Linked DNA regions of Drosophila melanogaster. The gene in region 1 interacts genetically with each later gene. Each region holds a gene or a part of one and is shown on either strand. Other genes may lie near its edges. The genes, in order: G9a and sba.

Region 1 (4,977 bases):
TTCTAACTTCACACAGGGCGTTTTTGCCTTCCGCCCTCGCTTTTTGGGTGGGGTCTTCTCATCTAAGACAGCTAGTGGCAAGATCTCAGAAGTGACCTCCGCAAAGGAAAGTTCTGCAGAAGGCTGCGGGTGAAGTGCCTCTGTCTTTACCTCCTCCCAAGGGCTTCCATCGGCGTGTAATCGATTGCCTAAACGAACGCTACGTCGCATTCTCTTAACATCTCCCAAGGGAGCGTCACCCAATTCCTCCTGCTCTGTTTTTACCACGACAAGGTCGCTTAGTTGCTGCTGATCTATCGGTTCATCCGGGAGTTTCCTTTTGCGTCCTGGTTTCTTCTCCCCTAATGAATCCTCGCAGGGTAAAATAACCTCACTGGTTTCCACCTCGGCATCGGGTCTTATTTTCCTGGCTCGACCCCTTCCTCGCTTCGGAGCAGGAGCCGAGTTTTCCTCAGGAGATAATGCAGTTAATGACGGTTTGTCCGGTTCACTTTTCAACTGCAGTCTGACAATAGCAGTATTATCGTCCAGTGTGAACCTCTCCAGATGGCTACTACAATCCGTATACTGCTCCGACTTTCCAAATTTTTTATTCTCCACCTGAACATGTTCATCAGTAACTGAAGTGGGCGTGTCTATGGGTCTGGGTGTTCTTCGAGACCGTCGCGTTCCACCGGGCGAAACTTGTACCTGCAAAGTACAGAGACTCATTGAATGTGCCGACTAAAGAAGTACTCAGGATAATATTATATATTATATAATATAGAGACATACTAACTAGAAGTACCAGTCCTCAAAGAAAGCTTCAAATGCCTTCATCGGTTGCCTAGACAACTGTTTCTACCAAACATAAGAGGTCTGTTGACCAAGAGGATGAATGAATGGATGGCTTAACCCTCTTAAAATTGGATGCAATTACTTCAAGTCTTTCTTGTATTCAAATCCCTCTGGAATTATGACAAACTAACAATTGTAATCTAACCTTTTTATGACCTAACCATATTAAACAAACAGCTGAACAAAAACAATGACATACATTAGAATATTTATGTATATAAATATGCGTACATCAATCATATGTACGTATGTATTTGATTAAAACTACACGTGAAACACTAGAAAGAAAAGAACTCAGCAGTCAAGGGCTAACTTCTAAATGAATTAACAAATAGTAACTTCTCCAACATAATACGTCTTTAATTTGTATGACATACAAAAAGTAGAGAAATGAAATAAATCCCTAACCTTTTTTATGATTGGTATGAACCAAAACAATGCCATACATTAGGATATTTATGTATATAAATATGTGTACATCAATCATAACTACGTATGTATTTGATTTAAACTACACGTGAAACACTAGAAAGAAAAGAACTCAGCAGTCAAGGGCTAACATCTAAATAAATTAAAATATAAAAGAAAAAGCAAGAATTTCGAAGCTGATACACACAAACACACACACATTTACTTACATTTTTATCAGCTAATGTCGCTGCTCCTGCCGACGTCGCTGCTCGCATTTGGTTGGTTGCGTCAGCAGCGAGTTTAACGCTAGCAGAACTAACAACAAGTGGAGATGCTACTGCTACCTCAATTCTTGTTGTTGTCAGTGGTTCTGCATTTGCTTCCAATTTTTGTGTTGCTGCTAGTATGGGTTCTTCTTCTTTCTCAGCAGCTTTTTTATTTTGCTGCTCAGTTTTAAAGCTTTCGTTTTCCCATCTCTCTGTCGACGTCGTTGCAATTTCCGTTGCGTGTTTCTCTGCACGCTCGTTGCTTTCCATCTTTACTGTTATGGATGTTGCTTTGCCATTCTGCTTTTTTTCCATTTCGGAGTCTTGTTTTGCGACATCTTGATCGTACTCCATTTCCTTCCTACCTTCTTCCTCTATTTCGCATTTTGTATGTGGTTCGACTTTTTCTGCATTCTGCGCTTCTTCTTCTTCCAGCTTGACAGCGGCCGCATCGACAACATCTGCCAAAAGTGCTTTGATGTCTTCGATTTCCTCTTGATTCCTTGCCTCCTTGCGCTCCTCCTCCTCCTTGTCCTTGTGCTTCTTTTCTTTACTAGCGAACTGGTTATTGGCCAAATTACGCCACTTGAGGGTTTTGTCTTCCGCCAAGTTCAGATTTAGCAAAGTACCACCCTCCGCTGTTGAAGTAGCACAGTCGCTATTGAATGTACTGGACATGCTGTTCATCAGCTCAACAAAGTCCGTCATCTTGCCTTAATTGTCACTATTTGATTACTTTGCGTATTAGTTTCTTTGATTTTCGATTTCAGGAGTCAATTTTCCATCTTTAAGCCAATAAAAACATAATTTCGCTTTCAGAACCCTATTTTTCCCGACAAGATTTGTGCATCGGTCGTACAAGCAGCAGCCTTTGTTGTTGCTTTGCTGTTCTGAATTTGCAACTATTTTGACACCGATATTTTTGAGTATAAATGGGCAAACATAAGGCAAAATAAAACATTTAATCTTTAAAATTTAGACATTAAAATCTGGTTTTTCTGCTTTATATTATGCTCTTTCTTTTTCTTCGTTCTGCCGGCAGCGAAGTCGACTGCGTTTCTTGGTGGTCACAGCTAAATTTTTTGTATCCTCTCTTTTTTTTAATTTCTAGAGAACAAAACGTAAAAATACAAAATTTCTCACTATATTTCTTACTATATATTTACTATAGTTTTCCACTTTTTCGTTCATTAATTGCCCTTAAGAAGCTCAAAATGTTTGCAGAAATCGCTGCTTTGCTGATTAGCTCACATGCTGTCAAATATTACACTCTCTCACATCGCTTCAACGCCAAGATTGTTGTTCTTGTTGTTTCTCTGCCGACGTCGCTGCTACTGCGTTTTTGTTGGTGTTGCAGTCACTGTTTTGAGATTTTGGAATTGGTAAGCTGCAAATTTTTCAACGAATTTACAAATGCTTGTAGTTTTCGTGGCTTTCTCTTTACATAGGCAACCAGTTCAATAACATTACTTTAGAAAAATATAAGAAAAGCACACGAACACACATACAGAACTGCGTTTTTGACGCACGCACACGCACGCACTTCGCGCTGAAAACTGTTATCCGTAAAGAACAGCAACAACACAACAACTAGAGCTGGCATGGCACAAAAATCGATGTTTATCGGACATGGCAACGCTGCTTGGAATGTGTAATCGCTAAAAGAAAATAGGGTGACACGGTTCCCAATTTAGCTATCGCTAATTTGATAGGGCAGCACTGGCAAAGGCGTGAAAACAATTGTTATTAACGCATCTCAATTTATTTTTTTCTTAATATATAATCGTTTTAGGCATTGTGTTTATTAAAGTTTAGCAAGATAGACCAAGCCACATATACTTACAGACGGCATAGTGCGAGGGGAATCCCACGTAGAATGTAAGAAAAATGCGCATGCGCGGACGAAGATTGCTTCCGATTATTTTGTCGCTTCTTTTGATCGTCCTACTGAGTCTCTGTTACTTTTCGAATCACTTGAGGGATTCAAGCCAGTCCCGCAAAAACGGTTTCTTGCTGCACTTACCACTCGAAACGAAGAGGAATCCATCTAACCCTAATACTCCGTTAAGTAATCTTCTGAATCTCACGGACTTCCACTACTTGCTGGCCAGTAATGTGTGTCGAAAGGCAAAAAGAGAACTCTTAGGTAAGTTCTTTGCTTTAATCAACCATTGTAAGGAATCCTTAATCATTTTTGTAATTCCCGATTAGCCGTTTTAATAGTTACTTCGTATGCCGGACACGATGCCTTGCGATCAGCTCACCGACAGGCAATTCCCCAAAGCAAACTGGAAGAAATGGGCCTGCGAAGAGTTTTTCTCTTGGCAGCCCTGCCTTCAAGAGAGCATTTTATAAGCCAGGATCAACTGGCCAGCGAACAGAATCGTTTCGGGGACCTTCTCCAGGGGAATTTCATCGAGGACTATCGCAATCTGAGCTACAAACACGTAATGGGATTAAAGTGGGTCTCTGAGGAGTGCAAAAAGCAGGCCAAGTTTATCATTAAACTGGATGATGACATCATTTACGATGTGTTTCATCTGCGCAGGTATTTAGAGACCCTCGAGGTGCGCGAACCTGGACTGGCCACATCAAGTACTTTGTTATCTGGCTACGTACTGGATGCCAAGCCCCCCATTCGCCTTCGAGCCAATAAGTGGTACGTTAGCAAAAAGGAGTATCCTCAGGCTTTATATCCCGCCTATTTGTCGGGCTGGCTTTACGTGACCAACGTGCCAACAGCCGAGAGGATTGTGGCGGAGGCGGAGAGGATGTCATTTTTTTGGATCGATGACACCTGGTTGACTGGAGTAGTAAGGACTCGTTTGGGTATTCCCCTTGAGCGTCACAACGACTGGTTTTCTGCCAATGCAGAGTTCATCGACTGCTGTGTGCGAGATCTCAAGAAGCACAACTATGAGTGCGAGTACTCCGTGGGACCCAATGGCGGTGACGACCGACTACTGGTGGAATTTCTGCATAACGTTGAGAAGTGCTACTTTGATGAATGCGTCAAACGGCCGGTTGGTAAGTCGCTCAAAGAGACCTGTTTAGCGGCGGCCAAATCTCGACCCCCTAAACATGGTTTTCCTGAAATAAAAGCGTTGCGACTCAGGTGACATCGGTTCAAGGACAAATGGCTTTTCATCCTTTAGCAACTATCATGTAAGGACTTTTTAAAAGGGGGTGATGAAGGAAGAGACAAATATTGGAAAAGGGATATGATACTCATCCTTGCATATATATATATATGCATTACAATAAATGTTTGCCAGAAATCGACTTTACATGAATTACTATACACCAGTTTTTTAATTATATATAATTTCGGTTGCCATAGTAACAGTCGGAAAATTAAATGAAAAATAATAGGACATGAAAACATACTTTCATTGTTTTTTTTTTAATCATCAATTTTAAAAATAAAACTGTTCTAATGTGTTTTTTGTTTTACACTGCATTT
Region 2 (4,948 bases), on another chromosome or scaffold:
CGACGGAGCCAACAAGCAATGCTCAACCTGGGAGATATCCTGTGGCCACAGATGTACCCAGATACTATCCAACCGACTACTCACCTGATATAGGCCACCTCATTGTTGTTGGTCAAGCGACGCCAGCCGGGGGCCAAATTTCCATTGTAGCTAGTGGCCGTCTTCCTGTTGATATTGCCATTGCTACTGGCATTGTTGGCTTTGGCAACATTCTTGGCATAGAGCTGATTGTTCTGACTCATTTGACGCGCCGCAATTGTTGTCGACATGCAATGCGTTGCCCCAGTAGCAGCAGTTGCAGCAGCAACAGTTGCTGCCGTTACTCCCGTTGTTGCCGCTGACTTTATTGGCAACTTTATTTGCGCCTGGCGCTGTTTGGTTTGTTGCTGTTGTTGCTGCTGCTGCTGTTGCTGCTGCTGTTGCAAAAGGAGCTGCTGGTTGCTGGTGGGGCAGACAAATATGTGCTGCTGACTGTTTCGCTGCTGCTGTTGCTGCTGCAGATGCAGATTTGCTACTTGCATCATGTTGCCGCTGCCATTGCCGTTTACCAAGCCAGCTGGTAATATCTGTTGCTGTTGCTGGTGTTGCTGCTGCTGCTGCTGCTGATGATGATGTTGCTGCTGCTGCTGATGCACCGCTGCACTTGTAACGACCCGCGATACAAATTTCGTTTGTTGCTGCTGGAAAAACTGATGATGTTGCTGCTGCAGAGGCAACATTTGCTGCTGCTGCTTGAACATATTGATCTGTTGATGCTGCTGCTGATGTTGCTGCTGATGTTGCATCCCGCTGACCACCGTCTCAGCACTCCCAGCTATGTTCAGCTTGTGCTGGTGCTGATGTTGCTGCTGTTGCTGGCCAGCAGATGCGGCGGCCATGGCGATAAAAGCAGCCGTTCAGGAGAACTCCTTCGCAATTCAAAGCCTGCAAAGAATTCAAGGGAATTCCCGGATTAGTCACAGCCAAGACTAGAACATTCAGAGAATAATCATTTACATTGAGTATTATTCAAATAAGAATTATAAGCATTATAACCTCTATCACACTCTAATTAATTCCCCATACACATTCTTATAAACCCATTAATTAAGGGCTTGCTTCCAATTGTATAGCAAAAACTTTTAATATCATAAATGCGTTCAAATATTCAAAAATTTTTTGGAAAATCCGTTCTCTTCAGACATGACTCTGCATTTAAACAATTAACCTATTGTTATTTACAGTGGAGGTCTTCATGTCTTTGTTTCTACGTTTTCGGTTGACTCATTGACTTTAATCGAATGGAATTGCGTTGCGGCCTTTGTTTTGCTCCACAAGTTGACCACTTACAAAGTAGCCGAATTGAGGGCCAATCAGGGTTTATGCGCTGCGCGTGTAATGAACGTGGAAGTGGACTAAATCTGGTTTATCCGCCATCTCACGCACAAGCAACAGCAAGGCGGCAAGAAGGGGAAAAACCACAAGGTTGTAAACCCAAAGTCGCACTTAAATAGATACTGCTAACTGGACGATCGTATAAACGACAAATCGTAGGCCGCACCTTTTGTTATTTATGCGTTGTTAAGTTTCTGCCCCTTATTCTGCTATTCGCTCACCTTTTAGCTTGCTTTTCGCTTTGCTCATTTGCCAGCATATTAAATTAATTTTGAGTTATTGTGTAAACGAGACGCGGCCATGTCATGTTCATGTTTTTTTTATGGTTTCTTTTCCTTTTGTTTAAAACACTTAATTTCACTTTTTTTTTGCAATGATATTATTTTGTATTCCACTCTCTGCTTCTTTTGTAGCTGTAATAATGCGACAACGACGTTTGCGTTTAGATGCGTATTGTGTTGTTTGTACACGGGTAGGAAAATATCTGTATGTTTAAAATTTTTGCATATATTTTAAATATTTTAATTAATTTACGTGGCACAACATTTGACCACAGAAAGGTGCTCTTTATCAAGGTAACGTAATGCTACGCTCATAGAAAGGTGCTATCATTAGCCCTTAAGTGCTTAATAGTGTTTGTTTTGATTATTTCTTTTGGTGTACAATCTCATGACTTCATTTGGAATTCAGAAAACGAACGTCAGCAGTGGCGAATCGAGTGAAAAGTGGTGAGCAGAGAGCGCAGAGCGCGTAAAAGTAGGTGAATGGAGCATGAAGTGAAGACACCGAAGGCAGTGAGCGAGAGGAAAGGAGAGAGCGCGCGAGGGGGAGGCATCACCCACACCACCTCCCATCTCCCTTTCCCTCTCTGTCTCACTCATTCGCTCTCCGCTGCGTTGTTAAGATTAGCACAATTTGCAGACCATATTTTAAGTAGTATAATTAATGCGTGCCCGTTCGTTTGTTTGTTTGTTTGCCTCTGCTGCACGGTGGACAATACGGCACAGTGGGCAATAGCCACCACCTGCCCTGCGGTTCTGCTCCGGCGATCAGCGACAACACAAACAACACGAGAGCAGAGCGTAAGGGGCAGAGGAGGGGGAGGGGGTAGAGCAGCTGTTCGCCTTGGGCAGTGGGATGAAAACGAACATTGGTGGCTATCTCGGTGCACTGGTATGGGTATTGGGCAATCGCACACACACACACACACACAGGCACATGTACGATACGCGTGCCTATGCTGCGGTTTACTGCTGCTATAATATGTACAAAGTGACCTCAATACGCATTACGCTACAAGAGACACACAACAAACACACGACAACCAACTGACGACTGCACTTCGCTTTGGGCTTTATTATGCACAGACTCGGATTACGCCAAATGCCAATTAAATATGAATTAATTACAACAATTTTGTGTCGCTCGATTCGATTCACGCAATATTATGGCTCGCTCTCATTCTCTCTTTCTGGCCTGCTCTCTCACTCTCATTGGCAAACGCGCACACAAAATTTATATTTTTTTTTTTATTTCAACTTCACGAATTTTATGACTTTTATTCACTTTCATTTGCGGCCAATTGGACACATTACACACCTTATTGCGCTGCGTTTGCGGCGGCGGCGAGTGCGCACATTTGTTTTGGAATTTGTATGCTGTATTTAACGGAAAATCGACGAATCGACGACCGTAACTCCGTGCACTTTTCCGACCGCGACAACAACAAAATGTGATGTGACCGAAGGCGGACGTCTGTAAAATGCCAAAGCTACGACCTGAGCAATCGATAGTTCGGTGATGCCAGATTATATCATCGATTCTAGAATCGATATCGGACTTATCGATCAGCCAACGGTATGGCAAGGCTGTTTCCAAATAACAGTGGCAATTAAATTTATTTAAGTTTATTTAATTTGGTATTGCACACAAATCAATCTAACTTGCCTAGGGAAATTACTCAATTAAGAAGTAAGCATACAATATTTTTAGGCTTTCATTAGAAAACACGTGACAGCAAGGCGGTTCATCAGTTGTTTTATTTGTCAAATTGAAAAGTACACAATAATTAGGTAACAGAAATGTTGGAAATATTTAGGACGCCCTATGCGGACTCCAAACAGCTGCCGTTGGCAACTGGACCCGGTCCCATCATAATTATCCTCATTGGATACCTTCTGGTAGTTTTTAAGGCCGGCAGGAAGTTCATGGAGCATCGAGAACCTTATAATCTGCGAAAAGTGCTTAAGTACTATAACATGTTCCAGATATTCTACAATATAATGATGCTCCTGCCCGTGAGTTGAAATTTTGAGCCTACATTCTTTTCTTCAATTGATAAAAGCTTCTTCCGTAGGGATACTACTTCATGTTGGTATTCCAACCGTACAACTTTCGCTGCATGACTGTCCTGCAGCAGGATCATCCGCTGAAGAACTGGGAGCGCTGCATCAGCTATGCTTACTACATAAACAAGATCGTTGACCTGCTTGACACCGTGTTCTGCGTGCTGCGCAAGAAGTACTCGCAAATAACGTTTTTGCACGTTTTCCACCACGTCCTGATGCCATCCGCCGGATACTTGATAATACGATTCTATGGCTACGGAGGTCAACTCTTCTTCCTGTGCTCCTTCAATGTATTCGTTCATATCTTCATGTATGCCTATTACTATTCGGCCATCAAGGGCAATACGGTGCGTTGGAAGCGGTACTTGACCCTCATGCAAATGCTGCAGTTCCTCCTCATGTTTGGCCATTGCGCCTTAACCGCCATGCAGCGGCAGTGCACTGCATCGCAGGGAACCCTCTTTCTGGTCAGCTGCTCCGCGACCATCATGTTTATCATGTTCGCCAACTTTTATTTCCAGTGCTACCTGAGACCGAAGCATAAGGAGAACTAAAACTTAAATTAGGTCGAAAATTGAAGATATACTAATTTAGTCATACGTTTTTATGAGCCATTTTAATGGTGAACTTTCTAGATTTACAAAATTGTGCTTTGTAATTAAAAAGATAAATTTCAAAAAACCGTTTTCCATTAGGGTTTCTCACTACGAACATCAAATGAGTTATCGATTACGGGCAGCTCCACTTTCCGCATGCGGTCACACTTAAAAGTGCAACAACGCGCGCGTTGTCGGCAACCGTCGAATATTTGCAATTAGTCGCGAAATCAATTAGAAAACTATAGAATTAAATCAAATTATTGGTGATACCTCGATGGTCTAGCAGTTCGGAGCGCAAACATGTCTGCTAGCTCCTCCAGCAACGCTTGCAAGCTCTTGCTGCTCGGCCGCTGCCTGCGCGCCGTGCTCCTCAGCGTGGCCATCCAATTCCTGCTGCTCACAGTGTTCCTGCTGTTTGTGAACTTCCAACTGTTGCATCCGCTCGCCTGGGTGACGGGAACACTGCGTCTGGTAGCCAGTTGGTACACCTGGTTTGCCAGCATCCCTCTGGTGGCCTCCGTCGTGCTCTACGGTGTGATTCTTTGCCAGCAGCACTTGTCGGAGCGACGCTACTGCCCAACCCGCTACCGGTGGCTCCTGCACTACGGTCCACGCAAGGTGCTCTTT

Evidence for each region.
Region 2: of G9a (region 1) and sba, changing one enhances a phenotype caused by changing the other (phenotypic enhancement), as found in Drosophila melanogaster (one study listed by BioGRID).

The regions. Positions count from the first base shown.
Region 1 is NC_004354.4:244,095-249,071, reverse strand, and holds the start of G9a (G9a), read right to left. Parts: upstream 3,095-4,977; 5' UTR 2,223-3,094; coding exon 1,476-2,222; intron 691-1,475; coding exon 1-690. Other genes in the region: CG3038 (uncharacterized protein), read left to right, coding at 3,402-3,660, 3,726-4,633.
Region 2 is NT_033777.3:23,919,923-23,924,870, forward strand, and holds the start of sba (six-banded), read right to left. Parts: upstream 3,052-4,948; 5' UTR 2,974-3,051; intron 1,859-2,973; exon of another isoform or gene 1,596-1,858; intron 925-1,595; 5' UTR 879-924; coding exon 85-878; intron 1-84. Other genes in the region: CG31141 (uncharacterized protein), read left to right, coding at 3,456-3,671, 3,731-4,276; Ndc1 (nuclear division cycle 1), read left to right, coding at 4,622-4,948. UniProt on the Drosophila melanogaster protein: Non-catalytic component of the polycomb repressive deubiquitinase (PR-DUB) complex, a complex that specifically mediates deubiquitination of histone H2A monoubiquitinated at 'Lys-119' (H2AK118ub1). Important for maintaining stability of the PR-DUB complex.